Linked DNA regions of Tamandua tetradactyla. The protein of the gene in region 2 purifies or fractionates together with the protein of the main gene of each other region. This does not show direct contact. Links are inferred from orthologs where the notes say so. Each region holds a gene or a part of one and is shown on either strand. Other genes may lie near its edges.

Evidence for each region.
Region 1: the proteins of PLK1 (region 2) and CCDC6 purify together in Homo sapiens (affinity purification with mass spectrometry; 3 studies listed by BioGRID and IntAct, with this or other methods). This does not show direct contact. The link is inferred for Tamandua tetradactyla from reciprocal best matches to the Homo sapiens genes PLK1 and CCDC6.
Region 3: the proteins of PLK1 (region 2) and DBR1 purify together in Homo sapiens (affinity purification with mass spectrometry; 3 studies listed by BioGRID and IntAct, with this or other methods). This does not show direct contact. The link is inferred for Tamandua tetradactyla from reciprocal best matches to the Homo sapiens genes PLK1 and DBR1.
Region 4: the proteins of PLK1 (region 2) and NOS1AP purify together in Homo sapiens (affinity purification with mass spectrometry; 3 studies listed by BioGRID and IntAct, counting the BioPlex papers as one, with this or other methods). This does not show direct contact. The link is inferred for Tamandua tetradactyla from reciprocal best matches to the Homo sapiens genes PLK1 and NOS1AP.

Annotation. Positions count from the first base shown.
Region 1 is NC_135339.1:37,348,370-37,356,199, forward strand, and holds the start of CCDC6 (coiled-coil domain-containing protein 6), read left to right. Parts: upstream 1-4,699; 5' UTR 4,700-5,323; coding exon 5,324-5,638; intron 5,639-7,830.
Region 2 is NC_135349.1:33,375,505-33,383,220, forward strand, and holds the start of PLK1 (serine/threonine-protein kinase PLK1), read right to left. Parts: upstream 3,149-7,716; 5' UTR 3,039-3,148; coding exon 2,631-3,038; intron 1,944-2,630; coding exon 1,775-1,943; intron 1,061-1,774; coding exon 916-1,060; intron 1-915. UniProt on the Homo sapiens protein: Serine/threonine-protein kinase that performs several important functions throughout M phase of the cell cycle, including the regulation of centrosome maturation and spindle assembly, the removal of cohesins from chromosome arms, the inactivation of anaphase-promoting complex/cyclosome (APC/C) inhibitors, and the regulation of mitotic exit and cytokinesis.
Region 3 is NC_135341.1:82,103,560-82,111,753, forward strand, and holds the start of DBR1 (lariat debranching enzyme), read right to left. Parts: upstream 3,329-8,194; 5' UTR 3,171-3,328; coding exon 2,974-3,170; intron 2,388-2,973; coding exon 2,263-2,387; intron 453-2,262; coding exon 372-452; intron 1-371. UniProt on the Homo sapiens protein: Cleaves the 2'-5' phosphodiester linkage at the branch point of excised lariat intron RNA and converts them into linear molecules that can be subsequently degraded, thereby facilitating ribonucleotide turnover.
Region 4 is NC_135330.1:15,203,525-15,211,363, reverse strand, and holds the start of NOS1AP (carboxyl-terminal PDZ ligand of neuronal nitric oxide synthase protein), read right to left. Parts: upstream 3,424-7,839; 5' UTR 3,338-3,423; coding exon 3,233-3,337; intron 1-3,232. UniProt on the Homo sapiens protein: Adapter protein involved in neuronal nitric-oxide (NO) synthesis regulation via its association with nNOS/NOS1. The complex formed with NOS1 and synapsins is necessary for specific NO and synapsin functions at a presynaptic level.

The DNA.
Region 1 (7,830 bases), on a different chromosome or scaffold from region 2:
GACTCTACCTTTCTCTCTTGTGCTTCCTATTCCTTTTTTATGGCTTAAATTATTTTCAACATACTTCATTTTATCCAATCCAACTTTATCCAATATTTGTCAACTGAAGTTCTAGGAAAAACTATTGTGGTCCATTGCTGATTTTTGTTCAAAACGTACTGTTTCTCTCTGCATCTTATAATTTTCAACTGTAATCCCATCTTCAATTTGAGATTGTACCTTTAGGCTGAATTGTGTTTATGTAGGCCAGGTACAACAGGAATATCACCATCCCAGCTCCAACTATTTCTTTTTTATCAGTTTTTTTTTAATGATGTATTTTACATACAGTACCATTCACATCTTTTAACTATCAGTTTGATGAGATTTGATAAATGTACACATTTATGCAACTACCACCACAGTTAAGATATGAACATTTCCATCACCCAAACAGTTCCCATGTTAGCCCAACTTTTAGGATAATATCTTATCTGGGGATTTCTGGACCACGTAGGTAGGATAAAGTAGAAATGTGTGAACCCCCTAACTGCATGTGGCTTAGATCTAAATTACAATTTTTCCAAAGAGATTATTTTTTCTAAATCTGAATCCAGGCAAAGGCAACCTTCCTGTTTGCTGGTAGGAAGATCCCTCTTCTTCCCCACTCCCTCCAGTCTTTCTTTGCTGGTGTAGTTCTTTGAAGGCTCTGGCATTTCATGGGTGTCTTAGTAACAACTTCTTGCTTTGTATGGCCCTAAGACAAGTCCTGTACCTGCTGGATAAATTCCATGGTTAACAAGCTGCTGTGCCTAGTCTCAGCTGCCAGGTTTAGTACTTTGGTTTTTTAGTCCTCCCTCTTCCTCCTTTTCTGACACACAAATTTTAATGAAGTATAATTTACATACAGAAACGTACACAAATCATAAATAAATAGTGCAATACCTTTTCACAAGTGAACACACCTGTGTAACAAGCACAAAGCTCAAAAAAAAAGAGAACATTACTAGAAATCTAGCACACTTTCCAGTTACTACCACTTCCAAAGAGAATCTTTATCCTGACTTCTATTAATTTAGCCTAGTTTCAAATTTTATATAAATGAAATCATTCAGTATATACTTTTTTGTGTCTGGCTTTTTTTCACTCATCATTGTGTTTGTAAGGGTCATTCATGTTGCTTCATGCAATTCTAATTCATTCATTCCCATTGACTCATAATACTTCATTACGTGAATATAACAGAATTTATGATCTAGCCCACTATAGGTTGATATTTAGGTTGTTTCCAGTTTTCCTCTTTGCTTTTGGACCCTGGGATTTCCTTCTATTTTATTTTGCCCTCTGCTGTACATTTAATAGGATTTAGAAAGTGTTTCCTGGTCACTATTTCTAGATGTTCTGTGTTGGGATATTTTAGTTTTTGTAGGCTGCCAAATCTCCAGTTACTCATATGGTTATTTTTTTTGCTGAAATTCTTATTTGATTCTCACCTGACTTACCTTAGGTGATGACTGTGGTTTGTAGAAATAGTTTGGATTTCTGTGAACCAATAATGAGTGATAGAAAACAGGAGAACAACAGAGGTGTTAAGCTATATAATTGATCTTGAAGTCATGATCTCTTGCCGGGGGAGATGCTGGTGAGCAAAGTTAGTTTGGCATTAATGGATGTAAAATATGGAAAAAACAAGTTAAAGAAATAGGGGTGGCTGAAGACAGTAATTGTCAGAGGTGTGGATATGGTTGTTTGGGTCCAGGATCTTCTGGCTAGTTGTCACCAAGGAGACGAAATGAGAGAGACACTCTCTTGATGACTCTGTGGTATGTAATCAATGTGTTGCCAGAAAAGCCACTCTAAAGCGGACCTGCTTTTGCCCTTCAAAAGTAATTGCCCTACTAGACATGTGATTCTCAACCAGGGGCATATTTGGCAATGTCTGGAGACATTTTTGGTTGTCATGATTGGCGGCACGTTACTGACATCTAATGTGTAGAGAGCCTAGGGAAGCTGCTAAACATCCTAGGATGCCCAGCACGGCTCCCGCAACAAAGAATGATCTGACCCCAAGTGTCAGTAGTATGGAGGTGGAGAAACCCTGTATTAGGTCTAGGTACTAGATGCAGCCTCTAAATCAAACACGCATTTAAATAAACACTATGAGCTATCTTTTAGGAAGTGATAACCCCACAATGATATATTCTTCTATTTTTCCATCAAAATTCTGTGATAACTAGTTTTGTGATAACCAGCTCACACTTAGCTCCTTTAATTCTTTTCAAAACCCTAACAATGGCTCTGACAACCACCAATCCATTCAGAGTTTGAAGAGAATCACTCAGATTGCACATTTATGTAAGTAGATATGTACAGCAATTTATTTATAGCTATGAAAATCATTGTAATTTTATTGTTGGAAAAAACACCAAAGTTCCAAGGCTATAGGGTGAATCAACTGCAAAGATGGCACTAAACAAATAAATATTTTGCTGTTATGCCTTAAAATTAGATTACAAGGTATTGTTTTCCTTTGTTTTTCTAGTTTTTGCAGCTCGGATTTAGTACAAAGCTAAATTTCATTGTTTCTTCAATGGAGGTGATTATCTAAATTTGCCCCTCCTTCCTCCAGGCACCACACACTAACATCTATTCTTCTGATTCATTTCCCCTAGAAAGCTGCAAGGGAGTTTTATAATGATATTATTGGTTTTGTAACTGGTGATTCCATTGTAATGCTATTACTGAGCCAGTGTTGTGATAAATGGTCTGTTTATAAGGGGAATCACTTTTACAAGAAATAGAAAATTAGACACACTTCTGCTTTGCAATAACATTAAAACCACAGTGAAAAAGAAATTCTCCGGTTTATTCCCATCTGTAGCAGCAGGGAAGCCTTAGAAGATGGCTTTCTCCCTAAAGTCTTCTAAACATGATTACTGCCTACACATACCATGTCAAAATGCAGATTTCCTCCAAATCCTATTCAAGACCAAAGCATTCTTAAGCTTACCATGACGTGGGCCCTTTAAGAAAGCCAGGCGCTTCAAACTCCACCCCCTCTGCTGACTTGAAGCAGTCAAGCTGCCTTTTTGAGGCAGTTAGTTAGTGATAAAGCTGAGAGGGCGCCAATTTGCCCCCTGCTCTGCGGGGAAGGAATGTTCCTGTTGCTGTAAGCTCTAAAAGTGGAAGCTTTAGCTACTATGGGATAGGGAACAATAGAAACATGTGAACTATGGAAGCTAGACCCACTCTTAAGATTCTTTCACGGTGCTGAATAAAGGGGAAAGAATGTTGTTTAATCGGAGCTTTCCCCTGCGGTGCTGCTCCCTGCTAGCTTTACTCTTCCATTTCACACGGCCAGTGAGTTTTCTAGAGCCGTTTCCAATTTAACAAGCTGCTTATATCATTTACCCAAAAGAAAAAGCTAGGAAGACATGTAAGTTTCAATGAAAATTAAACCAGTTCACTTATAACAGAATTATTTAGATTCGCTTTGTTTCTGAAGCACACAGCCATATTTTGGTCACACCAACAGGGTCTAAGTTCAGAAGTCCTCCAGCAGTAAACTAAAAAACAGGAGAAATTTGGGATTTAATTGCAGTTGGCATTTCTGAGCTGTCTGCTAGGAATAGCCACCTCAGTAAAAGATGATGTCATTTGGAACATTTGCAATTTAGAGTTTATTCTGAGGTACCAGTTTCCATTAGCCACTGAATAATGGTTTAATCATTACATCAAATTTAGGTGCAACGATAAGGTAGGGGATAAAAATCATTAAAGCCATTTCTTTTCCTTCCTAACATTTTTATAAACCTTTCAAAAAGCTGAAAGCAGTAGGCATTTTTTTTTTTTTTTTGCATGGGCAGGCTTGGGGAATCGAACCAGGGTCTCTGGAGTGGCAGGCGAAGCAGTAGGCATTTTAAACAATTGTTTTATTGGTAGTATTATTTTTTCTCTTTTGTGTTTCCTGTGTTTGTTCTTTCTTTGACCAAGCTTGGAAACTAAAACTAGTCCAGCCAGTTTCACTTTCCAATTTTTATACATAAGTGAAAGCTGTTTTTTTTTGTGCCAACAGTGTGGTATTTAGAATCAAATCACCTGCTGGGCCAATTTCCCGCAACTGGTTTTTGGGAGGGGGAGGGGAAATAAAATTTGATTAGGAATTTCTTATGCTTCAAAGCTAGAATCCTGTATTAGACCATATTAAAGTAATTAAAGTTTTTTTTTAAAAGCTATTAAAGTTTTCTAAATAAGGGTAATGATCATATTTTCTTTCCACTTGACCATCACAAATTTGTACAGCAGAATGCTATGCTTTCATTTACTTTGGAAATTTGGCACTTACATGTGTTTCAATATTTACACCAGAAGTGTTTCTCTTCCCTTTCTGACTTTGAATTAAATAACTGTTAGTGTCTTAATCCTTTTGGTTGACATGTGTTGATACTGTTTGCAAGATGCACAAAGAAAAAAAAATAATTCTAGCTTGCTTAAATAATTGAGCGCTGTGTAGGTTTATGAGATTAGGAGGAATAGAGAGGGCGATGTGCCTCTTCGGCAAATTCTTTTTTAACGAGGTTAGCCTGTGTCTATTTCACCCTACTCTGCTCCTTGGAGGGGAACGTTCTGTTCTCTTTGCTCCATCCAAAGCTTCTCAGCCAGTACTGGGAAGATAAAACTGCAAGGGCCGCGTTGATGTGTGACAGACAGAGGGAGTTACCCGCACACACAAATCGGCGGAAGATGGGGCCACGACACGACCGGGGCTGGGTGCAGGAGCCAGGCTGACCTTTCCACGTGTCCTCAGCACCTGCGAGGCTGGTTGGGCATTGGGTTTCTCTTTCGCCGGAGTAGGCGCGAGCCCGGAAGAGGCTGGGCTGCCGTGGTTTAGGTCAGGGGTCTCGGAGGCCCTCCCCCAGACCACGTGCGGACTTGGAGCTGGTGGTTCGGACGCTGGCCTGGCTTTTCCGCACCCGCAGTGCCCCCACGTCAGCAGCTCGCCTGCGGACGCCAGGAGACGGGACGGGACTGCGGGCGGGTTCCCGCAGCTTTCCGCAAGCCTTGTAGAGCGGCCTAGCGAGCGCGCCAGGCCGGGCTGGAGCGAGCCCCAGTGCAATACTGCCCGAGCCCGGGCGGGGTCTCTGTTCTCTGGCAGAGGAGGTCCCTTGGCAGCGGGAAGCTCTCTCTCTTTCTCTCGTCGCCGCTCCGAGTCTGCGCCCTGGTGCCAGGCGCTCAGCTCGGCGCTCCCCTGTGCTTGCCCGGCGCCCACTCATTCGCAGCCCAGCCTTCGCCGCCGCCGCCTCCCTGCTCCTCCTCCTCCTCCTTTCCCCAGCCCGCCGCGGCCATGGCGGACAGCGCCAGCGAAAGCGACACGGACGGGGCGGGGGGCAACAGCAGCAGCTCGGCCGCCATGCAGTCGTCTTGCTCGTCGACCTCGGGCGGCGGCGGCGGCGGCGGTGGCGGCGGGGGAGGCGGCGGCGGAGGTGGGAAGTCCGGGGGTATTGTCATCTCACCGTTCCGCCTGGAGGAGCTCACCAACCGCTTGGCCTCGCTGCAGCAAGAGAACAAGGTGCTGAAGATCGAGCTGGAGACCTACAAACTCAAGTGCAAGGCGCTGCAGGAGGAGAACCGAGACCTGCGCAAAGCCAGCGTGACCATCGTGAGTGCTCCCCCGGGGCGCGCCGCAGCGCCGACCTCCGCCCGCCTCCGCGAGCGGCTGCATCCCAACCCGGGCAACCCTATAACCCCCACTCCCCAGGCTCCTGGGGATCTGCAGCGAACAACTCCTCGCTGAGACCTGCCCGCGCCCGGAGAGGAGGGGGGTGGTGTCTGTTGCGGGGGGAGAGGGCATGTGTCCTTTAGGTGGCCATGGGGGTCTGCCCTTCCTTGTGGTCCGGGTCCCTCGCGGGGTTCGGGGAAAAACAGTTGGGGCAATCCCCGACGGTTTCTTTTCGCCTTTGGGGAGGAGGCCGCTCCGGGGCAGGGCTGCAAGCTGGCGGCGTGGCTGGGGGGCGGGGTGGGACTGCTTCAGTCTTAGCTTGCCTGTGGGGTGCGTCCGGAATCTAGGGGAACCCTAGGCTGGGAAAGAGGGAAGAAGCATGGCCCTGTTCCAAGGGCCTGGTTTGAGGTGCGCAGCTGGGCTGGGCACTCAGCTGGTATCTGGACGGCTCTGGCGGGATCGCCCGGGGGTGGGGGGTGGGGTGGGGCGGGAGATTGACCGGGAATCCGGGAAGTGGAGTTCTCTGGTCAGGATCGAGAGAGAAAGGCGGGCACCGGCGCTGGTGCACCCTCCTCTGTTGGAAAACCATTCCTTTCGGGGCGGGATATATATACGGGAGAGTACAGCATCCAACACTGACCTAGACAGCTGAGGCCGAAACCAGAGTGAGGGGTTGCGGCTGCGACTGTCTTGCTGAGCAAGCTGTCCGTATGCTTCCTCATTTGGTGGTGGAGTGTGTAAAGGTATATTACCTCCGAGTCCAGGTACTCGACTGAAGAACAGGCCATCTGTTTTCACCTGGTCCCTGGAGGCTTCCCAGAAGGGTAAGGTTAGGTCTGTAGTTCTGTCTGTAGTGGGCTGTGATGAGGGGAAACATAACTGGAAAAAGTACACTGTGTGCTCTTAACATCCCTGCCAGCTTGCCACATCATTAACATGCAGAATCCTCATACAGACAACTCTATTCAGATCAAAACAGCCACCCATCCAGGAGCAGAGAAGAAAATGTCAAGGAATCAAAGGAATAAATTGCCTTAGCTGCTGGACAATAGCTGATTAGGTGGATTCTTCAGATGAGAAAGGGGAGAACTTTTAGTATGGATCAAAGGTCACGGCCTGGAAGTGAAATAGGGCAAGTTTAGGATGACCCTGTGCCAGGAAAGGGTCTTGAGTGGAGGAGTATGTGTGTTGCCCCAAAATGAGCTTGTGCATGGGAATTGGATGGCATTCTTAATTCGTTTCGAAAGCAGGTTTTCCATCGGAATTTGCTGGCAGCAGCCTAATTAGGAATTGATTGTAGAAAGGCACTTTGTATGTTCGAACCCAGTCCTGGTGAACGGAATTAGAGCAACATTCACCCATATCAAGACTATTAAGTTTCTGAAGGGCCCTTAAGGTAGCAAGGGGGAGGAATTTGCAGAGGCAGCCTCCAAGCCTCTTTTGTAGGCTTTCTTGACTGAGAGAAATATCTCAGCCTGCTGGGATCTTGAAAAGAGGGAAACGTTGATGTTGCCAGTTTATTTAAGGTTTGAGTGAGTAAATGAGAGGGTTGCTCTCTTGGAGAATTTGAACCACCAAAAAGTAGTGAAACTTTCCTGAAACAGAATCTCTAGCCTCTTGCCTACAGCCAGCAATTCAGGCTGTTTTTGTTTGTCTGGGATGGAGGAATGGCTGGTGGGGGGTGGAGATGGAGAGATTATGAAAGGGTTATCTGTTTGACACTTTGACCATACTATAAGTAGGTCTGTAAATTGTACACAAACATGTTGGCTCTGCACAGTCAAAACACGTTCACTCCTGGTATAAAAGACCAGAGGCCTTCTGAATACGTGGATTGAGAAGTGTGTAAGGTGATGGCTTTATTTATTTATTTTTTTAGCACTAAACCTCAGCTAAAGTTGACATTTAACCTAATACACTTTGTGAAGTATTCTGTGGCTTTACATTAAAAAAATGTTTTGGATGACAGCCTAACAAGTACCACTACTAGAAGCTTCTTAGTTCTTTTCTTATCTCTAATTAATATATTCAGGGAGACAAACTTGTGGTTCAGCTGGGTCTCCTAGTACTGGGCAGGTGTTGGTTACTAAGGAGCTGTATGACAGCTGCAGAGAAAAGAGTTCCTGCAGGCA
Region 2 (7,716 bases):
GAATGTAATCAAGGGATTGTCTGGACCCTCACTCTGGTATCTGTGAAGATAGATCTTACGTCTACTCAGCACCCTCAGAAGCCAGGACAGTGGCTGGGATGAGTCCTCAGGATAATACAGATGACAAAAGCACAATTCTTATGGGCCAGTGATTTCTCAACTAGAGCCCACAGTAATCTAAGGTTCTGCAGAAGAGGTAAAGAGGCTACCTGCCGTACAGACAGATTAAAGTGGATGGTCTCCCTGTTTCTATGGAAACAACTTCACGTTTATAGTTCTATGCAGAAGAGAAGACTTAAGATTTTGAAAAATAGCTCCATTGCCAGAAAGTATGAAAGTCATTGCTACTACTCATTTCTAATTCTCCAGTACCCAGACCAGCAACGACAAACAGAGATAATACTTGAAAAGGCCCGGGTCTCTGCCTACCATGGAGTCCCCACTCCACTCTGATGGTCTTAACCTGAGAACACACCTCTTCCTGCCAGCAATAACTCCCAGTCTAATTCCTCTTGCTCAGTGCTGCTTCATAGATCAGTGTTTCTAAAACTTTAATGTGTGTGAGAATCACCCAGGGATCTTGCTAAAATCCAGATTCTGATCCAGCGGGTCTAGGGCCTGAGAGCTTGCATTTCTAGCAAATTCCCAGGTGGCACTGATGCTGCTGGTCTGCACGTGACACTCTGAGCAGCCAGGGTCTATAGCAAGGTGGTGGACATCTTTGGACAGCTACCCCACCCTCTCTCTCTGGACCCACGGCCCAGCTTGTGGGATACTCCAGAGTAACAAGGAAAGATAAGGAAATTAACTTTGTTTTTAGACTAGACTATAATCCACAGGATAAGGTTAGCCAAGTGAGATTCCAAAAGGGGCCCTGATGAGGCTGAGTGGGTCCTAAGACAGCTCCCTACTTACATGATGCACCCAATAGACCACACATCCACTTCAAAACTGTGCCCCTTCTTGCTCAGCACCTCAGGAGCTATGTAATTAGGAGTCCCACACAGGGTCTTCTTCCGTTCCCCGTCATATTCAACTTTGGTTGCCAGACCAAAGTCCCCTGGGACAGAGGGAGAAAGGGGGGAACTTGGATGCCTGTCTCTGCCATCAGTCAATGCAGACAGCTTGTTTGTGTCTATCAAGACCCAGGGTCATTTGATCCCACAGGCCTCTACTCCCTGCAACAACCAATGAGGTTTGCCCAGAAATCCTCCCACCTCACAGGGAGGTGCCTCCCAGTGCCCCATGCCCCACCCTTCCTCTTAAAAATGAGGGCTATGCGTCTAAAAGGATGCTTGGTAGGGACAAAAAATTCAAAAGCCTTTAGGGTTCAAGCCAGTAACCTCAAAGACTTAGACTAGGCAACAAGCTTGGGGACTAGGGAAGGGTGGGGACTGGCAAGCTACAGGGAGTCTAAAGCTGACAGTTGCTCTCAGCTCAGCAAAGGGCTGCCCTGAAGGAATGCTGCCCGTGTTGCTGGAGCTTCCAATTGTTTAAAAGGAGCTCCAAGGACATATTTTTATGTCAAGTTTCCCAGTTTAAAAATCAGAAACTAATTCCAAAAAAAATTTTTTAAAGACTTATAGGGGTACAAAAATGCTTCGGCAGGTAAGAAACTGGCTTGTGGGCTCTTTAAAATTTCTGGACTAAAGAGAGGATCCAAAGTCAATTATCAGCCCAGACTTCCCACTGTCCTCTTCCTCCTTCCCCCACCTCCTCCTCAATCTCCCTTCTTCCAGGGGTGTTCAGCACCCGTGGAGGCCCAGCACCTCACCTATTTTCACCTCCAGATCCTCATTTAGGAAGAGGTTGCCCAGCTTGAGGTCCCGGTGAATAACCCTGTTCCGGTGCAGGTACTGGCAGCCAAGGATGATCTGCCGCAGGTAGTAGCGGGCCTCGGGTTCAGTCAGTGCCTTCCTCCTTTTGTGCAACTCCAGCAGGGACTGGGCCAGGAAAGGAGGGGAAGAATGGGGAGGAGGCCTTGAGGTCCAGGTGCTAGGAGGGGTCGCTAAGGAAAGGCAGCCCAGGACTGGATCTGGACCCCGGGTGCATGCAGAGAAATGTGAGGAGGGGTCTTGGCAGGCTCTCCCCTTTCCGCAATCCTACCTCCATTCCTTCTCCAAGACAACTGCAAGCCCAGTCTCCTGGTAGCTCTATTCTCTGAAGCCTCTTACCCGAGACCCTTCTCCCAGCCCTACTCCGGAAGCTCAGAGTCCCCAGTAGCCCTCCGCGGGCCTTTTGCAGCTCCAAATCCTCTTTCAGACCCATCTCTTCCTGAGAAGCTCCGAAGTCGGGCCTCAGCCCCACTCTGGAAGCTCCGGGTCCACCCCAGTCCTTACCTAGGACTCCTCCCTTAGCATCTATTACCAACTCTCCCATCCCCACTTCCGATCCCTAACCCGCGCCCCTTCTCCCCACCCTGGGCAACACCTCGTGTCCAGGGGCCGCTTTCCCTAGCAGCAAAACGACTCCGGCTCTACTTAATCGGACCCCCTCCCCCAACAGCCAATACTTCCTACCCGCGATCTTTTCCTTCCCTGGCTCAAAGTTCCCACAACATCTTCCCCAGAGGCTCCGAGCGCCCTTTCCCGGCCCCCAAGCAGTTCCAACTCCCCAGCAGTAACCCTCACCCTCCGGCGGCACAGCTCCAGCACCACGAATACGAAGTCGTTATCCTCAAAAAAACCGTGGAAGCCGACGACATGCTGGTGGGCCAGGCTGCGGTGAATGGATATCTCCATGGACATTTTCTCCTTCTGGTGCGGCTTGAGCAGCAGCGACTTAGGCACGATCTTGCCCGCGAACACCTCCTTGGTGTCCGCGTCGGAAATCTCAAAGCACTTGGCGAAGCCCCCTTTGCCCAGGAAGCGGCCCCGCAGATAGCGCTGCCGGCTGCGCGGGTCCACTAGGACCTCCGGGATCTCTTTCGCCGGCGGGGCAGCCGCTGTGGCCCCGGGTGCCGCAACTCCCGGGGCCCCGGCCTTTCCAGGTTCGCCAGGAACCCGCGCCAGCTTCCCTGCAGTCCCCGCCGCACTCATGCTCCTGGAGTAGCTCAGCAGACCTAGCAGGGTAGGGGCGGACGCTCTGCTGCGACCTGCTCCTCTCCGGAATTCAAACGCGGCGCTGGGAACGTTACAAAACCCTTCGCGCCACTGATTGGCCGCGGGGATTTAAAATCCAAACCCGCCCGCCGCGCGGCACCATGGGAGTGTTCTGTATCGTAGCCGCCTTTAAACCCCCTACCCAGCACCGAAAAAAAAGAAAAACTTAATTGACGGGACGCTTGGGCAACAGACACGTGGGATGCCTGGGAAACCACACCTAGGAGACGAGTTCTAGGTTTCTTCCTTTCGCGGACCGCTAGGGGAGTTCCTGCAATTCCCATGCACCTCCTCCAGGAAGCTTTTCCTAATACCCTCCTCCACCTACCCCACCTCCCACTCCGTCTACCAAAATGTAAGCTAAAATCTAAGTAAAAACCGGATGCTCGCTAGGCAAATTCACCTCCATAACAAGTCATTTTAGCCCCCCTTCCCCAACCCCTACAAATAAACAGTCCCTCTGAATGGAAGAATGCTACTCAGAAGTATGATCCAGGGACCCGCAGCAATCATCATCAGCTGGGAGCTTGTTAGAAAGGCAACCTTTCAGGTCCCATCCCAGACCTCTTGTGTCAGAATCCCTTTCAACGAGACTGCTCAGGTGATCGCCCCACATACTGAAGTTTGAGAAGTACCATTCCAGAGTGCCCACCATGCAAGAAAGTAGTCTGATTTGCTCACTGCTATGTTTTCCAGTGCCTAAAATAGTGGACATTCCACCTGTTGTTCAGAGAGGGAAGGCTGGCTGGATGAATGACTAACAAACTGGCAGTCCATAGCCGAATTTGACCTGCAGGAGTGTTCTGTTTGGCCGCCTCACTTAAAAGAAAAAAAAGTTGAATTTACAGAATTTAAAATGAGAGCTCACATAAAAATTCACGTATGGCTTTCCCTGAAAAAATGTGAAACTCTGGCAATACCGGGCCTACTCATCTTCCCAATCAACAAGTCTCCACCTCTCCCCTTTGCCTTTTGTAGCACTTGTGTGGAACACCCATGAAATGGCAAAATGCTGGTTAGAAGTACCTTCACTGTGTTCCCTTAGAGCCCTATGATGTCCCTGACAGAACCCAGCAAGAATCAACCACATTATGATCACCTGCCTTCCAATTAAACTGGGAGGCATGCTGTCTTTTCAACCTGTGTCTCAGGCTTCTAGTGCAATACCTGATTAAAAAGGGTTACTAAAATATTTGCTGAATAGGAAGGTTTTTAAAAAGTTGTTTTTTATCCCCATGATGTATAATCTTCTACTCTTTTTCTTTTACATTTTTATTGAGATGCAGTATACTTACAGAAAAAGCATACATCATAATTGCACAGCTCAGTGAGTTCCCACAAACTGAACACACCCTGTGTAAACACCACCAAGAAGCCCCTGTGTCAGGGATCCCCAAGATCACTCCTTGGTTCGATGATTCACTAGGATACTCCCAGGAATGGGCATATGGTTGTACTCACAGCTATGATGCATTATAGTGAAAGGATATGAAGCAAAGGGAAAGGCACATGGGGCAGATTCTGGAGGAAACCAAGAAAAACCTTCCAAAAAAGTCTTCTCCCAGTGGAGTCACACAGGATGTGCTTAATTCTTCCAGAGATGTAAAATGTCCACGAGAGAAGCTAAAAGAGGCTCCATACCCAGGGTTTTCTGGAGAGTTTGTCATATAGGCACCCTCTGGCTAGCACAGAGAAAAACTCTAGATGCCCAGAAGGAAAGCAAATGCTCAGCATAAACTACATTGATTGTACAGTTTAGGCAAAGTGAGCCACCCTTATCATTTACAGTATGGTGAGAGCCTTTCTGAAACTAAGTTCCCAGATGCCAGCCAAGGGCCAGTCTTGCAAACAGCCCTAAGGAGAACAGTCTTAGGCTTCCTGTCAACTCTATTCTGCATAGTCCATCCCCTTGGCCCTTGACCAAGACTTCTTTAAGGCAGGACCCCAACACAGCAGGGTGAGACTAATCTGCAGCACCAATCTCAGTTATGCCCTTTAGGATTCCTGGAATTAGCCAGTTAAAACAAATCCCATTAACCATAAAAGCCTAGCTTAGAAAGCAGGTTATTTCCTCTGTTTCTGTGTTAAGCTTTTTTTTAACCTGCTCTGAGATATAAATTTGTGCACAGCCCACTTAGGCCAATGAATTGAAGCTGACCTGAAAGAATACCAGGGCTAAGGCAGTGTCATGATAGTTAGGGTGCAAAAAGTACAAACCCAGAGAACACACATGGTAACCCTGGAAACACAGTTTACAAATGTTAGGTACCCAAGCAGGAGAGCTACGAGTTGGGCTGTTCAGCTTCACAGGGCCCCAGTGTGGCCTTCAATTATGGGGCTTCCATCCTGGGGTTTTCAATCAAGCAAAAAATTCAATTCAGCTCTTGGTTTCAGAGGCGCGCACTGAGGCAGTCAGTTACAAGCATTTTTTGCTTGTCCACGATATGTGTTCATTCATCTCATGAGTGTGAATGACACTTGAAGGTATCTTTATGAAAGTGCAGGAACAGGGTCACTCCCTTGTCTCCCATTGAGTGCTGCCAGGTGTGACCCTAGGCTCAGCAGTTGGAATTCGAAATGCTCACAACACTTAGGCAGCACTGAGAATTTTCCTTCAGAAAGAAGGGAAAGCTTCCAGGAACAGTACTGAAAAGCAAAGATCAAAAGTGCCCTCCCCACTCCCTCATGCCTCCCAGGATGCCAGGTTTTGGGTTTTTTTCCTCTTTTGTTACAAAACCAGTGGGTTCCAGTCAACAACTCTAACTTGATATTTTTTTCAATCATCCCTTTTTCTCACCCAGGCCTTTACTTGGGGAGAGGTGTGTGCAAGAAGCACGAAAGCATTTTGGCAGAAAAATATTTTTTCAAAACTTAACCAGAAAGACACATTCAGGAATTAGTCAGGACAAAATCCTTAATTTTCAAAACTTTTAAAATGGGGTTTCATAACCTCCCACCCCTTTTGTCTTGATTATTTACCCAGTGAGCAGCCTGCAAAAGAGCGCTCCCTTTCTGAGGACAGCTGCTTTTAATAATCAATCTACCTCACTAAGGTGTGTGTAAGGGGAGAAAGGGGAGGTAAGCAGAGGGACTAACAGTTCATTGTTGCAAACTGCAAGCAATCTGGAAAGCTGAACACATCAGCAGTGAGCTATCTCCAGAGAAGGTGGAGTCTGATCTGCCAAAAGCAAGTCGAGGGGACACAGTCCCTGTGATGAGATCTCCCCCAATTCGCAGCTTTGGGCAAGAATCCCAAATCAAGAATCCAAATAGCCCCTGCATTAAGATCCAGGGCTGACAAAGTGATTTGATCAGTGAGTGGAAAAGTATTTGCAAAGCCCCCTTCGGGGAATGATGAGAACAGGGAGTTATGCAACTTCCCCAAGTTGAATTCTTGATATTCTCACAAGCAGTGTGGACAACCAAAGCTATAGGCTGAGCCCCCAGTCTTGGGGTTTGTTCATATGAAACTTAACCCCACAAAGGATAGGTCAGGTTTACTTAAAATTTAGGCCTAAGAGTCACCCCCAACCCCTTTTGTTGCTCAGATGTGGCCTCTCTCTCCAGCCAACACAACAAGCAATCTCACCACCCTCCCCGTCTACGTGGGACATGACTCCCAGGGGTGTGGACCTTCCTGGCAACGTGGGACAGAAATCTTAGAATGAGCTGAGACTTAGCATTAAGGGATTGAGAAAAACCCTAGAATGAGCTGAGATTTAGCATCAAGGGATTGAGAAAACCTTCTCAACCAAAAGGGGGAAGAGTGAAATGAGACAAAGTGTCAATGGCTGAGTGGAGAGGTTGTCCTGGAGGTTATTCTTATGCATTGAGTAGATATCATCTTGTTATTCAAGATGTAATAGAGAGGCTGGAGGAAACTGCCTGAAAATGTGGAGCTGTGTTCCAGTAGCCATGTTTCTTGAAGATGATTGAATAATGATATAGCTCTCACAATGTGACTGTGTGACTGTGAAAATCTTGTGTCTGATGCTCCTTTTATCTACCTTGTGAAGAAACGAGTAGAACATATGGAATAAAAATAAATAATAGGGGGAACAAATGTTAAAATAAATTTAGTTTGAAATGCTAGTGATAGATGGGGGTGAGGGGTGAGGGGTATGGTATGTATAATTTTTTTTCTATTACTGTTTTATTTCTTTTTCTGTTGTCTTTTTATTTCTTTTTCTGGATTGATGCAAATGTTCTAAGAAATGATGAATATGCAACTATGTGATGATACTGAGAATTACTGAATATATATGCAGAACGGAATTATATGTTAATGTTTTTGTTTGTTCTTAATTTTTTAAATTAATAAATAAATTAAAAAAAAAAAAGATCCAGGGCTGATCTGCAGCTTGATTTTATGGTTCCAATAGAGAACAAGCCCCTTCCTGTGATGGTCCAGCCAGCATCCATGATGCTTTCATGGTTTAGAGTTTACGGAGAGATGGCCTAAATTTCCAGTGATTCAGTCTGCGTCCTGTTCAGGAGTCCAAAAAGGCCAGCGGTTTTTCTTCAGCAGTAACAAGGGTGAGATGTTGCAGGGCCAGACAGCTGTCTCCCAGGCCCAAGTGACAAGCAAGGCTTTCCTAAGTTCCTTCTACCTTGT
Region 3 (8,194 bases), on a different chromosome or scaffold from region 2:
ACATCAAAATATCAAGAAAATGATAAACACCAAAATTCCGAATAGTAACTGCCTGCTATCTGACAGGGAGGTGGAGAGATGAAAAGGAGAGTAATGGGATTGAGGACAAGTAAACAATGAGCTTCGATTTTATCTGTACTTTTTTATTTCTTAAAATTCAGAAGTAAATATGGCAAAATATCTGATAAAACTGGATGTCAGATACACAGGTATGTTTTGGTGTTATCTATATTTTTATATGTATAAAATACATTATAATGAAAAGCTAAGAATAGCCAGTTCAAAGAAACTCAATGAAAATAAATAGTCAAATTATTCATTATGCTTATGCTACTCAGGGGCACGCAAATTCTAAAGTTGAAAAACATTACCTTTTCGATAGTCATGAGATTTAAAGATACCAGAGAGTCCACCGATCCTTAAACCACGGTATTTTACCACACCAGCCAAACCTGAAAAATTATAGCGTTAAATAAAAATTGCTGTAAGCAAAAGCAATCTATTTACTAAATGAATGACATAATTAAAGGCTTGAACTTCATGCAGTCTTAAAATTATTTGAAAATATGTATCATGATGACCTTACTCTTTCACATAGTAATAAGTCAACCGCTTATGAGGTACACAAAGAAGGTAGAAAGGGAGACCTAGAGGCAGATCTACCAAAAGACTAACCAGAAAGAAAGGGACAAGTGAGAAAGGATATTAAGAGGAAAATTGATACAATCCGGAACCTAATTGAATATGTGAGTGAAGGAATAGGAGAAAATGTCCTATGATGGACTTAGACATTATACATCTAAAAGTCAACAGGCATAAGGTATAAAGAACCTGTAGTATCTATAATTCACTTCCAATTGATTAGCTTCTGACAATTTCATCTTTTGACAATATTGCAAGTGTCAAAAGATGATCAATCAGTAAGAAGAGAAAATGACTTTCTGAAGTTATGATTTCTCATTGAAAAAACCCATAACTGTTCTCAAATAAGGCATTTAAATAAAGAGAAGAAAGGACTGTAGTTTCTAAAATTGAAACTGAATCTAATGAGGCCTCTAAACCTAAATGCCAGGTTACAGGAAATGCAGTGGATGAAAGGAAAACTTAAAACAGCAACCCAGGTGGGCAATGGTAGCTCAGTGGCAGAATTCTCTTCTGCCATCTGGAGACCCAGGTTCAATTCCTAGAACCTGCCCACGCCAAAAACAAACAAACAAACAAACAAACAAAAACCCCAAAACAAAACAAACAAACAGCAACCTAAGGAATCTAATAGTTAGATTCAGAATGCAAGAAATTCTACAGCACTATTTTCCTATTTTCTTCAATAAATGAACAGCAAAGAAAAAAGGGAATGGGGAACAAACACATGAAATGTAGGTGGACCTTAACTGGACTCTAATTAAACAAATCAATTATAAAATAGACATCTTTAAGAAAGCAGAGAAATCTGAATATAAACTAGGCAACAGTTAATAAGGAATTGTTTAGTTTGGTTGGGTATAATAATGGCATTGTAGTTGTGGTATTTTTAAAAAGCCTTGTCAATTAGAAATTTATATTGACATATGTAAATAATATGATGAAATAAAATGGTGAAATAATCAAATAATGTAACAGCTGGGATTTGCTTTAAAGTGCTCCAATCATCCCTTACTCACACACACAAACACGAACAGCTTGGAGGGGTGGGGCTGGGACACTAAAAACAAGGATGGCAGAACAATAGTGGCTGAAACTAGACAGGGTACAGAGGGTCATTATGTAGGTTAACAATTTCCATTATAAAAAATTTATTTTTTAATGTAATAAAAAGTAGGTTTTTATTACTTTTGTGTAGGTTTAACAATTTCCATTATAAAAAATTTATTTTTTAATGTAATAAAAAGTAACAAAAAAATAAAGGAATTTCAAATAGTGTGCAAAATCTTAAAAGTTAAATTAATCATTGCTAAAAAAGTAATCATAGGGCAGGCCATGGTGGCTCAGCAGGCAGAGTTCGGCTGCCAGGCTGGAGACACCAGGTTAGATTCCCAGTACCTGCCCATGCAAAAAAAAAAAAAAAAGTAATCACTGAACAAAACATGAATATATTTTCATGATTAACTATTTAAATTACTATTTAATTAGACTGTCATGATTATGTAATTAAGTGACATTCTCCAACACATCACACATTTCAAGATGCTTCCTAACTGACAATACAAATCTTGACAGACTCTTCCATATCATCAAATCAAAAACTTTGCCAAGAACACATACCTAAATAATAAATGTTTGGTGCTACCCAGCCACCATAAGGTAGCTCTTGCAAATGATTTGAAGCTTCATGGTTTCCCCCAATGAAGATCGTGAGAACTGGGGCCTTTTTCTCTCCAGAATAATACCTGGAACATAAGGGTAAAGTTGTCCGTTACCTCATAAGGCGTAGCAGACAGGCAAAATAAAGTCAACATGAAAAAGCTGAGTTAATCAAAAAAGCCCTTTTTAGACGAACTGCACAGTACCCATTCATGTCTTTAAGAATGAAGAGCTGCCACGTGAGTTTCAAGCCAGTGTAAATTCAATTGACGTCAAGAATTTGGTCCCGTACACTGCAATAACCTCAGCTTCTAGAACCGGAACGTGCAACATAGCATGCATTCAATTAAAAAACTCCCGGAGTACTAAATAAACTAATCCCAGAGTCCTATCAAGCACTAGGTAGATATTTAAAGCGGACAGCTTCTTCCGCCGGGTGCTACTTTATTCCCCTCGTCTGCGATCCTTTATGAAACAGATAAGGAAAGTGAATGGAAAAAAGGAAAGTGACGTTTTCTGCGCGCCCAACCCTGGGGAGACGGCGCCAACAGATCCAAGAACTCAGAAGACGGAGCTGCTAGGTGGCAGAAGGGGATTCGAACCCAACCCAGGCCCTTCCCTCCCGGCTGGCTAGTCCCGGAGCCGTACCGGCGGCCGGGCCGCGCCCCTCACCTGTAAAAGGTCTGCATGTGGCGGTACTTGGGCGGCACGGCCATGCAGCGCAGGTCGGCCTCGTTGCGCACCGCCTGGAAGTCGCCGCAGCACAGCAGCAGCTCCACTGGCCCCGGGCCGCGCCGCTCCGCCAACGCCAGCGTCTCGTAGATCTTGTCCAGCTCGCCGTGGCAGCAGCCGGCCACAGCCACCCGCATCCTGCCCGAAACAGGGATATTCGGCAACCCCCAGACCACAGCCAGCCCAGGCGGGACAGCGAGGAGACTTGGACACTCGGGCAACTCCCGCCAACATTAACAGGGCCGCCACCACTCCCAGACGCTTGCGATATGTCACTTCCGGTTCGAAGTCTCGCGAGAGAGGGGTTGGGCGGGGCTTGGTTAAAGCCCTAAGAACCGTGGAAACCTTCAAATCGCGTTTTTAGCCTTTGCGGATTACAGTGGGTCATTGACTCCTAACAGACTGATGCATGGTAAAATTCAAAACCAGAATAATATAAATAAAATCCTCAGAAATAGAACTTAGTTTGATAAGATTAAAAGAGCTAAAAAAGTGAGCAGACACGATTGGGTTCTATAACAGAGAGAACCTTGTGGATGATGACCGTGATTGACAGTACAAATATAAAACCGTTTTTTAATGAACTATAACAAATGTGTGCTATTGAAGGCTATAGGCTATAGTTAACAGTAATATTTTAATATTCTTTCGACAGTAACAAAGCTGGGGTTAATAATGGGGGATGGAGGGGCAAGGGGTATGGGATGTTTGGGTTTTTTATTTTTACTTTTTATTTTGGAGTAATGAGAATGTTCTAAAATTGATAGTGGTAATGAATATACAACTATGTGATGATGCTGTGAGCCCCCGAGTGTATACTTTGGGTGGATTGGATGGTGTGTGAATATATCTCAATAAAATTACATTAAAAAGAAAAAAGTGAACTGGCACAATTGGCTAATTCCCAAGGAATTAGAAATTAAAAGACTGCTTAAAGATTCCCAAAAATGAAAATAATTTAAAAACAAAACACACTGCGGATTTTAAAACCATGCTCCACTCCTACCCCCACCCACCATCACCAATTTTTTAAAATTGTCCCTTACTTTACAAAGGGGATCAGGGACCTTTCATTTTTCTGCAAAGGAGTTCTTTGCTTAACTAGACTATAAGCTCAATGAAAGCAGATGAATCCAAAACTTTCCAGGAGGAAAAATATCATTGAAGAATAAGTGGACCTATTAAATATTGTCTCACTTCCAAAATCTGCAGAAGAGCTCTCATGTTGTAGGAGTGCCCTCCAAGCGAAGGTGGACAATGTGTTTACACACAATGTGCTTATTACAGCATGGCTCAATTTAACTTTTTCCATTTCACATTTAATTTTTTGGAATTGTTTTCTTATGCATCATTTTTCCCTTCATGTAGAAAAAATCTTGATTGAGTTCTAACTTCCTTGAATTAACATGAACATCTTAATTCTTAAGTGCCATTTGATGAATTTTTATGTATGTAATCAACCAAAGACCCACCATCCTTATCAAGATATAAAATATTTCTGGCATTCCAAAGTCTCTTCCCAAACTCTTTACTGCCAAAGAAAATCACTAGTCTGATCTCTATTACCATAGATCAGCTTTGCCTGTTTCTAAACTACAAACATATCAGGACATAGTCTTTTGTGTCTGGCTTCTATCATTTAACTTAATGCCTGTGAGATTTATCCATGCATTGCAAGTAATGTTAGTTAGTTGTACTCTGTTGTTGTGTAGTGTTTCTGTGTGGATATACCACAGTTTATTTATTTTCCTGTTGAAGGACATTTAGGTTGTTTCTAATGTGGAGCTATTATGAATAAAAAGGCTATGCATACTTTTATAAAATATTTTGGTGGACATAAATAATCATGTCACTTGGATTATGCTCATGAATGGACTATCTGGATATTAGAATAGGTAAATGTTTAGCTTTAATAGATATTTCAGTTTCCAAATTAGTTGTGACAATTTATACTTGCCTGAGCAAGATAGATAAATTCCAATTTTTCCATATCCTCACCAGAAAGTGATATTGTCTGTCTGTTAAATTTTAGCCATTTTTAAACATCATTCTCAATGGTGAAAGATTAAAGGCTTTCCTTCTGAGATAGGGAACAAAACAAAGATATCCGCTTTCACTACTGCTACTCAATATTGTACTGAAAGTTATAGCCAGAGAAATTAGACAACAAAAAGATATATAAGCCATCCAGATTGAAAAAGAAGTAAAACCATCTCTATGTACAGGGGACATGATCTTATATATAGATAATCTAAAGGAATTACAAGAGAACTATGAAAGCTAATAAATGAATTCAGCACAAGATCAACATGCAAAACTCAGTTCTGTTTCAGTAAGATAGCAGTAAACAATTTGAAGAGGAAATCAAGAAAACAATTCTATTTAAAATAACATCTAAAGGAATAAATTTAACTAAGGTTTTGAAAAATATGCATGGAGAACTATGAAACACTGCTGAAATAAATTAAAGAAGACCTTAATAAATAACAAGACATCTTATGTTCATGGTTTAGAAGACTTAATATTGTTATGATGACAATACTACCTGTTTTAGTTTGCTAATGCTGCTGGACTGCAATATACCAGAGATGGACTGGCATCTATAAAGGGATTTATTTAGTTACAAATTTACAGTTCTTTGGCAGAAAAGCAGCTAGCTTTCATCTGAGTTTCACATGGGAAGGCACACAGCGATGTCTGTTGGCCTTGTCTCCCAGCTTTTCTGTTCAAACAGCTTTCCCCAAGGCAATTTTTTCTGCATCTCCAAAGGTCTGGTCTGAGCTGCTGAGCTTTCTTCTGACCTCCCTTATTAAGCCTCCAGCTAATTAAACTGGATGTCAGTCATTGAGGAAGACACACCCTTTAGCAGATGGAATCGGCCATGCATGAATTCCACACGCTGGTGATTTAAGTCCTGAGCCATAGAACAACAGGGCACAATCAGCTGGGCAAAGTGACACCTGAACCTAACTACTGCACAATCTAAAGTCATATACACATTCAGCAAATCTCTATCAAAATTCCAGCAGCACTGTTTGCAGAAGTAGAAAAACTGATCCTCAAATTCATGTTTGCAAAGGGGCCTGAATAGCCAAAACATTCTTGAAAAAAAAAGAATGAAGTTGGAGGACCTACACTTTGTGATTTTACCATTTACTACAAACAATAGTAGTCAAAACAGTGTGATATTGGCATTAGGATAGACAAATAGACCAATAAAATAGAATTAAAAGTCCAGAAATAGACCTACACATCTGTGGCCAATTGACTTTTGACAAAGGTGCCAAATCCACTCAGTGGGAAAGAAGAGTCTCTTCAACAGATACTTTTGGGAAAACAGGATAGCCACATGTAAAAAAACAAAGAAAGTTGCACCTCAACCATGAATTTTTAGATATGACACCAAAAGCACGAATAATGAAAGAAACAACAAATTGGACTTCATCAGAATTAAAAACTTTTGTGCATCATAAGGACACATATGAGCTCACTTAGATGTTTAGAAATTGCAAAACTGTAGAGATAGAAAGTAACTAGGACCTCTGAGGAGAGCTCAGTTTCGGTAGGTTGGCCAGTGGGCCAGCTGCCGGCAGTGCTGGCCCTGGTTGGGTCCCACCACCAAGAGAGCCAAGAAAAAGGCTGAAGCAGATTAATGAGGCCCCTTTGGCTGGCCCAGCAGCCACACCACGTCCAGGCGAAACTAGACGGGTGGTAGCTCTAAGCAGCCCCCATAGCGCGGTGTAACTGTCAGATTCACAGAAGAAAACTGTTGAACCAAGGAGGAAATGTATTTGTAAATGTGATAGATGTTGACACTTGCTCCATGACAGAAGTAATTAAAAAATAGGAGGGATTATTGAGGCAAATAACAATGCAGTTCCATTTTTGGTATGCCAGATTCTAAATAATGTCCAGATTGATGATGTTTTTACTGTAAATTTAATGAAGCCATTCTCATTAGACTGAAAGATAAAATTCCAAATAGGCAATCTTGGGTCTTTCTAGACTTAAAACTTATTGATAATGACCATTCTTTGGTTAAGATTTTGTCCTTAGCTCAGAGATTCCCACTTCTTCAACAAGGACTAATGACATATCAGGTATCAAGGGTAACTCAATTTTTAATTCAAAGTTTTGAAATGCTATATTCTGCCAAAATGAAATAGGGCTGCTTGTCGAAATGGCTAATTCTGGGCAGAAAAGTAAAAAATGAGGCTGGATCATCTTGTGCCAGAAAGCAAGGAGGTGCTCAAAGAATATGGGAACATGGAGTCAGTTTGAAAGTACTTAAACTTGCCAAATCTGGGAAACTTTTAGTAGCAAAATACATAATGATAGTAAAACAGACTATTGCCGTCTAAACAAAGTAAGAATCTATGATTCCATACTGATATAAATAAATAATAGGGAAAAGGAAAAGCTCCTTTTTATATATTTATATATTTATGAACTTCATAATCATCGTCATCCTAATTGTCTCAGGCAAGACTTCATTGAGTGCTAAAACGAGTGGGTAAAACTTTGCGGAGTAATAGGATGCATAGGATTCTAGTAAAGATACACAGTCTGGGTGTATCTATTATTTGAGACTATTTAGAAAGTCTCAAAGTATCTCCCCAAAATATACTTAATAATGACAAAGAGAAAAATAAGAACTTCCACTAAAGAAACCTGCCAAACACCATCTTACTAGAGTGATTAACATTAATCTCACCAGGACTTCTGTGGTATTCCTGCTCAAAATGCCTAAACTGAACCTAATTTTGAAAAACAGCAGACAAATTGAAATTGAGGAACATTTTACAACATACCTGGCCTGCATTTAAAAAATATATAACAGGAAATGTAAGGAAGACAAACTGAGAAAGATTAAAAATTAGAGGAGAGGAAAGATACATGACAAGTGAATGCAATGCAGTGCTGTAAAAGACAGCATTGGAAAAATTGATAAAATCTTAATAATATCTGTAAATTAATTAATATTGTATCAGTGTTAATTTCCTGATTTTTATAATTTTACTGCGGTTATTTTAGACAATGTCCTCGTTTTCAGGAAACACTAAAATATTTAGCGGTAAAAAGACATATCATTTCTGCAACTTACTTGCAAATATGAATTACGTATAACCATTAGTTGGATCGCAATCCCTGTATTTCAGAG
Region 4 (7,839 bases), on a different chromosome or scaffold from region 2:
TCTCTCTGATCCCCAACTCTTTCACCCGAAAAAAAGGAGATAACGCCAATGTTTCTACTTCTACAGGAGAAAACGTTTCGGCATGCGAAAGAAGTCTCATGCAAATCATAAATCACCTACAAACGTGAGACATAAATATATTATTCTTATTATCCTTTGCACCATTATCATTAGAAGCCCTGCTGCCTCATTTTTTCTCCTTATTAAGCAAGTAGAGACACTCAGCTGATGGTAGCGGTCACTGGGGAGGAAAGGCAGGTACTGAGAGATCGAAGTGTAACCAGCACTTTCTCGCCAGCACTCCCCACCCCCACCCCCAGTACCTCCCAGGAGCCAGGTGAAGGCAGGAAGCAGTTCACCCTCGTGAGCCACTCCCAGGCCAACGTGAAATCTGGCAACAGCCCAGCAGTACAGGCTTGAATAAGTAGCTACATCAGAGTCCTAGGAGCCAGCAACCTGAGGGTGCCCCACCGTGAGCTGTGAATCAAACCACTACCCAGCACGGTGGCAGTGCTCCACACACATTTATTAAATGAATAAGCACTGCATTTTAGGAGTCTGAAGTCAAAGTTCCTGGGACTTGAAACCTGGCATTGCCATAGACAGCTGTGTGCACTAAGGCAGGCAATAATCTCCATAAACCCATATCCTCATTTATAAAACAAACACAAGGAGACCCGCCTCGGAGATAGTAAATGAGGTACCACAGGTGAAATTCATCTAGGAGTCTGCTTGATGATTACGCACAGGTGTTTGTGTGTTTACATGTATAGAACCCAGAGGCCGTTCAGTCCTGATCCTAACCTTTCAATCTTAGCAGAAACCTGAAAATGTGTGGCATACATTCAACGGGTCACTCCATTCACCCAGTGTTGATTATGAAAAACTGCTAGTTCTCGGAAGAGAAAGATCTGGGCTCACTTTCCAAGGGCATTCGACAAGGAGGCGATTTAATATATTTGCATTTTACAGCCTGCGCTTTTCCAAAACAAGGGAAAGAGTGTGATATGGATTTAACCCTAAAGTCCCAGTGATTGCACAGCCCATTGGCGTACTCTGCTGGGATGTGGAAACCAGTCAGAGAAGGTGCTTGTCAGATGGTGTGCAGAGAACAGAAAAGCATTTGCTTCCACCTCTATTCATCCGCCACGCGGATGACACGGTGTTCGGATATACTGATGTCCAACACGGATTACCAAGAGCTAGAAGTTAAGACTCAGGTCCTCAAGGACAGACTTTCCCCAAGGAAGCCTTGCCACCTCCCTTCTGCCGTTTCTTCTCTACCTCATCATTCTCAGACCAGAATCCTTGGTCTTAGATCTGCACTGGGAACAGAGCTTGGAGCAAATGTGGTCCCTCTCCTCTTATCAAACACCACTGCCTGTGAATCCTGGGAAGTCACTGTAGGAATTATAGCGTGCAACTCCCAGGCATTCGCTTAGAGAAGAAACTGCACACCTGGTGCTAGGAAAGGAAGGGTAAGATTGAGCAAGGTGGAGGCCAGCCCCAAGCCCAGTATTTATCAAAGTCTGGTCCCAATCACCTCCACTGAATCACCTGGGATGCTTGTTAAAGGCACACACTACTCAGCTGCCCCCAGATCCCACCAAATTAGAATTGGGCGATAGAAGGAATGTGAATTTTCAATATCCTCTCCTAACACACTTCTGTACCCTCAGCTGGGACCTTGCAGAGAACTTGTGAATAAATAAGAAAGCTTAAAAACACTTTAAATTGGATCTCCCTTCTTATTCTCATTCTTGCAAAACAGAGCACTGGTGAACCAAACAAGGCAAGAGCCGATTTCCCAGTACATATATAAATATCTCCAAGAAAGCTAAATCATGACCCTGATGAAAACTCCTACCTTAAAATTTAAAAATAAGCTCACCAAATCAACAGGACTGGACAAAAATCAACCCAAACATCCCATCTTAGGCTGACCAGATCTATCCAGAGAAGCAAGATAACATCTCAGCTGCAGCCCCATTCTGATGCCAACTATATCCAGTAATTGAGCTCTGAATTCCATGGCCGTGTCTAATGTCTGGGGGGGAGGGGTCTTTACGCTCTAGTCAATACGGTTGGGGAGAGGTTATTCGGAGGGAAAAAAGTAAGATTCACCAATCCATGCACGTCTTTGAGAAGAAAAAAACTTTTACAATAACTGACACCTTCAGGTACATATCAGGCACTGGAAAAATGTTTCTTGAATTGAAGGAAATAGAGAGACACCTGATGGAATAATCTCTGCATGAGATACTAACACCCTGCATCTACATAGTGGTGAAAGAGAAAAAGGGAAGGGTAAAACTGACTGCACGCCAAAACTACAAAGTTTTAAAACCAGCAAGACCCAATATTTTAAAAGGAGCAGTTTTTAAAGATTATCAGTGGCAGGCACACAGGAGTTGCTGAGTTCCTGATGTTTATGTAATGGGGTTTCAAGAGGCATGAAGGAAGAGCAGAAACACTGCCAGGGAGGAGCCCTCTCCCACAGGAAGCCCACCTGGAATTCTGCCAGGAGGGACATCACATATTCACCTGATGGGCCAGTTCAGAGCCCCATACCCCTATCCCGCCCCAAAGATGAACCTGGGGCTTTGGCCTGAGCACTGAAAATTCCAGTTATCCTTCCTAAATTCTTCAACAGTAGTTCTCTGTTAGCAGCTGAAACTTAAACATCAAGCCACAAAACCAACAAATGGGCAGCACTTCCCCCACACTTGCAAAGGAGTCCTGATAAATCAAGCATTTAGGAAGTGACTGACATCTGGACCCTACCTAGACTCTAGAGAAGCACCCCTGAACTTGGAAGAGGAAAAAAGGCTTTTCCTCAATCAGGAAGCGGGCTCCATTCCTGAAAGCACCTCTCCCACGGGAGCCCAGCAGGTAAATAACAGCAGAGTTTCCCTATCCTCAAGGACCAGAGTACAGGTTGTGCTCACCCGCCCGAAGGATCGGGAAGTAATTCAATCCAATCCTTTGGCGGGTAAGAAAGGGGGAGTCTGCAGGTAGGAGGAAGAGGGCGAAGCACTACCGCTCAAACTTTAGTTGCTCCTTAGCAGTTCTAGGCAGGAGTCCGTGGAATTATGCTGAGGAGGGGTGTCACCCACCCTAACAGAAAAGCCCCCTAACCAGCTCAGTCCTCTAGCTGTCTCCAGGATGGCTGTGCATCAGATCCACTCAGACAAGCCCCTCGCGGGCAATACCCTGCCCGTGCCCCCCTCACCTTGGCCTCAAAGCAGATGCCGTGCTGGAAGGCGTCCTCGTTGTGCAGGGGGATCCGCAGGTCGTGTCCATCGTCCACAAGGTTGTACTTGGTTTTGCTGGGCATGGTGACCCGAGGTGGACCCGCTCCTCCAGAGGCAGCGGCGGCTGCAGGAAGAGGCTGGGGAGACCCCGGGGAAGGGAAGCGGGAGCCGGGCGCGCAGCGCGCGCAACGGGCTCGGGCTAGGACGCGGGGCGAGGGGCGTCCCGGCGGCGAGGTGGCCGCTGAAGCTGGGACCCCGGGCGGCGCCGAGGGCCAAGCGCGGGCGGGAGGCGCGGATGCGGGCGACGCGAGCCGCACTGTGGCCGCGCAATTCCGGCCGGCGAGGAGAGAGGCGGCGGAGGCGGCGACCGGAGCGGGCGGCGCGGCGCCCCGGCCGGGGGAGGGGAGCGGCGGACGCGAGGCCGCAGCCCGAGGCGGGACGAGGCGCGGAGCCGACCCCGGAGCGATGGTGCGGGCAGCCCGATCCGGGAAGAAAAGGTGGCGGCGGCGGCGGCCGAGCTGGGCGCCTGTCACGGAGACGCCGGATCAGCCGCCAGCGAGCAACTCCTCCTGCGGGGCGGGCCCGGGCCGGCTCCTCCCGCGGGTGCAGAGGCCCCGCCCGCTGCCGGGTCCGCCCCCCGCGCCGCCGGCGCCGCCCGCCGAGCAGGTGAAAGTCCTGGGAGCGCAGGGCTGGGCCCGACCCGGGGAACTCCGCCCCGGCCCCAGAAAGCTGGGAGCTTACGACCGCAAGCTCGGTGCAGCGTCTGAGCCGGAGCTGCTGATAGAAGCAACAGCATCGCCTTTGATTTTTGTTTGGTTTTGTTTTGTTTTGGGGGGAGAAGGTGTTTACGTTCTGTTTTACCGAGATGGCCCAAGCCCCGCCCCAAATGTCCCAAATCTGAACTTCATTAATTCTGAGAGTCCCCTCCCTTGGTTAATCAAGATTGAATACAAGTAGAGGAATAGGGCAGGCACTTTTTGTTCCTTTCAGTGATAGTGTGTAGTGGCGGAGGGGGGAGGTAATGCTTTTTGTGATGGTGATAATACTTTAAAGCCGTCAGTCTTATGAAAATGGGATAAGCAGAAAGGAGAACTAACGACAATAATACATCCTCCTCTACAATTTATCATAGGTTAAATAATTTGTACTGAGGAGCTGCATCACTTAGCTTTTTATAAATACAGGATATGAAAGTCTAATCAGACATGTTTGACTCTTTGAATGTCACAGTGGTTTTAATATGCATCATAAATGCACTCTCTAAAACCTGGCACAGTTACACTCAACAATTTAAAGGCAGTACCTTAAGTAACTACTTCATTTGTATCTCATATTCTATCTAGAATGTAAAATGTTCTCTGATTCCAAAGGGACTTTTCTATATTAACTTGGGTCCCACTGGACTGCTGATATTTACCAGAATTTCGTGTCTAACTCTATAACACATTGTTTGTAGACCAAACATAAGAAGAAAAAAAAAAAGCTGGCATCCCAAATGCATTTCATAGAAAGGAAAGTAGTTAGTATTTGAACCCAAATCAATTCTATGTGGAGAGGTGTTTCCACCATGCCTGGATCTCCATGGAAGACTTCTAATTACAAATGAGATGCACCTCAAATTCAGGGTCCATGTTTTATGTTGCTAAATTATATTCATCCCATTTCAATTAGATGAAATGTTCCTAAAAAGAGAGGCTTGTTCTCTATTTTGGCCTCTACCTATTATCATACCCATGCCACACGGTATTAAGATACCTTTCTTCCAGCAACAATAGGCATCCAAAGGAATTTCCATTTTTTAGCTGAGGTTTCGATCTTATTTTTGTACCTTTAAATGTAATACACTTCACCCACAATATTTCCAAATCTATAAAAACAAATGCTTTTTATCTTAAAATGATTGACAGTGCATGTATCACTTCCCATACCTTTCCATATTTTAAACGTTTAAACGTTTTAAACGTTTCATAATAAAATTTTCATCTGAAATAGATTTAATAAAAATACAAATTGCTAAATCATGAGATACCTCCTATGTTAATTTTATTGAAACTCGATTTTAATATAAATTATATATTTTTTAAAAACACTAAACCACAGAACTTCAGAGCTGGAAGTTATATCAGAGATATCTAATCTCACCCCCTCATTTAAAGACAAAGAGATTTAAGTAACTTGCTATCACTATGGCCATGAGTCAATCAGAAGTTTGGGTTATGACTTAGAACAGATGTGAAAATTTGCAGTAAATGTGGCACCAATAATCCAGGAAGGATCTCTCCCATACTCCCGACGCAGTAATCTTTCCATTACACAATGATGGGATATAAATGGATTAACAGCAAATTTTTTTGAGCACATATTTGAAATTGAGAAAATTAATTTGCTTTTGGTGAGAAATATCAGCTTTGCCATGCTAACCACTGCATGTGCATAGTCCCACTTAATCTCTCCCACAACCATGAGTCGGATACCATTTTACAAGTGAGGAAACTGAGGCTCAGAGAGGGAAATAATTTGTGTAGGTCATAAAGCAGTAAGACCTAGGAAACCTTCCTTGAGTATAGCCAACAGAGAAGAGGATGTCAACTTTTTGAGATACATAGACAGGGGAAAAAAACCACAAATCTTCATACAAATAATAATATATTAAACATTAATCACAGATAATGACTTCCTACCATCAGATAACACTTAGCTCCAAAATGCTCAAATTCTTTTTCCATTTTTCTGTGTATCCCTAAGGTGTAAAGAGTTGGGATTCATTACCCCTTTTTATAGGTGGCAATAAAAATATTAAGTGATTTCTCTGAGAAAAAGAAAAGAATTAAAACTCAGGTCTTCCAACTTCTAATTTGGGTATTTTAATTTTCTTTCAGCTTGAATTTTATATTGAGAGCTTTAAAGTTCCCAACAACTAAATGTCTCCATAATGTTAAGGAGGCATTTATTAGAAAATGAGTCAATCAGAAGTTTTGAGTTATGACTTAGAATAGATGTGAAAATTCACAGTAAATGTGGCACCAATAAACCAGGAAAGATCTCTCTCAGTAAAATGAAAAGATTTGAGTCTTCCAGTCCTGTCATTCTCAATGGCTCTCTGTAGATAAGTAACTGTAATGTAAAATTATTTCTTATTTTTCTGCCTATTTTTTAAAATTCTTTATTGTGGTAACATATATTCAATATAACATTTCCCATTTTAACCACTTCTCACTATAGAATTTGAAGGTGATTTGTTGACAATCTTATGCTGCCATCACCAGCCATTACCAAAATTTTCCATCAATTCTGTATCCATTAAGCATTAACTCTCCTTTTCCCAGCCCCACCCCAGCCAGCCAGTCTTTCTGTCTCTATGAATTTGCATATTCTAGTTATTTCATGTAAATGAGATCATACAGTATTTGTCCTTTTGTTTCTGGCTTATTTCGTTCAACATATCAGGGTTCATCCATGTTGTAGTATGTATCAGAACGTCATTCATTTTTTATGGCTTATTGACCAGAGGCTGTTGAATGAATAAATGTTTCACACCTCAAATATTAAGCAGTGCCAAGAAATACAGCTTGCCTCTGGTTTTATTGATGACATAAAAAGAATGCTAAAGATTGGAGAATTTTCTTTAAAAATGATGCTAGTGTAAGAGAAAAGATTATACTACAATTGGATAGACTTTGTGTCTGGAGATGGGCTAATTATTGTAATGAGAATTGAGTTAAAGTCTGAAGACTCCAACATTGTGACCTTGGGCGTCTCTCTCAACTTCATTGTTTATGTTTCCTCATTGGTAAAGAAATAGGAAATGCATCTTAATTTCTTCATGGAGTTGTTTGAGCATATCATGAGATGGAAAGCCCTATAAACAGTAAGGTTTCATAATAGTAGAAGAAATTATTAACATGATTTCCAAAATGGAAACTGGTATTAACTGTGAGAATATCAACAGTTTTATAGCAATCTCTACCACTACTTGTCTGGTTTGGTTTATTGTGATCTTTTACTGCATAAGAAATAAAACAACAATTTGGAATGTTTGTCCCATAGGAAAGGTTATTCTGAAGGTATCACATATTGTAATGCCAGCCTTCATATTTTTTATTAGATCCATCTAATCTCTCCTGCATGGTATAACCATTTTCTGCTTTTCTCATTCAGATTATTCTTGATAATCTTAAAGTTTATAGTTGTATTTCTTGGCACTGCTTAGTATTTGAGGTGTGAAACATTTCTTCATTCAACAGCCTTTGGTCAATAAGCTTTCTGGCCAAAGGCAGTAGAAAACATTAAGTAAGTGTCCCTGCTATGATCATTTCTCAGGGTAGCAGGGGACGTAAGAGAGGTATACATCCTTGGCGAGGCATATACTTAAAAACTGCAGTGGTTATGAGATGACAGAGTGTGATCCAAACGTAGGGGTGAGAGGCAGGGAGGGAAGGAAAGGCCCAAAATCCCTGGGGCTGATTGGTCAGGAAAGTCTTCAAGGGGGTGAGGTTTGAGGTGGCCTTTTAAAAAGGAAAGGATTTGAATAAATAACACAGCAGGAGGAGGCCAGGCAGAAAAACAGGGTCTATAGAGACATTCA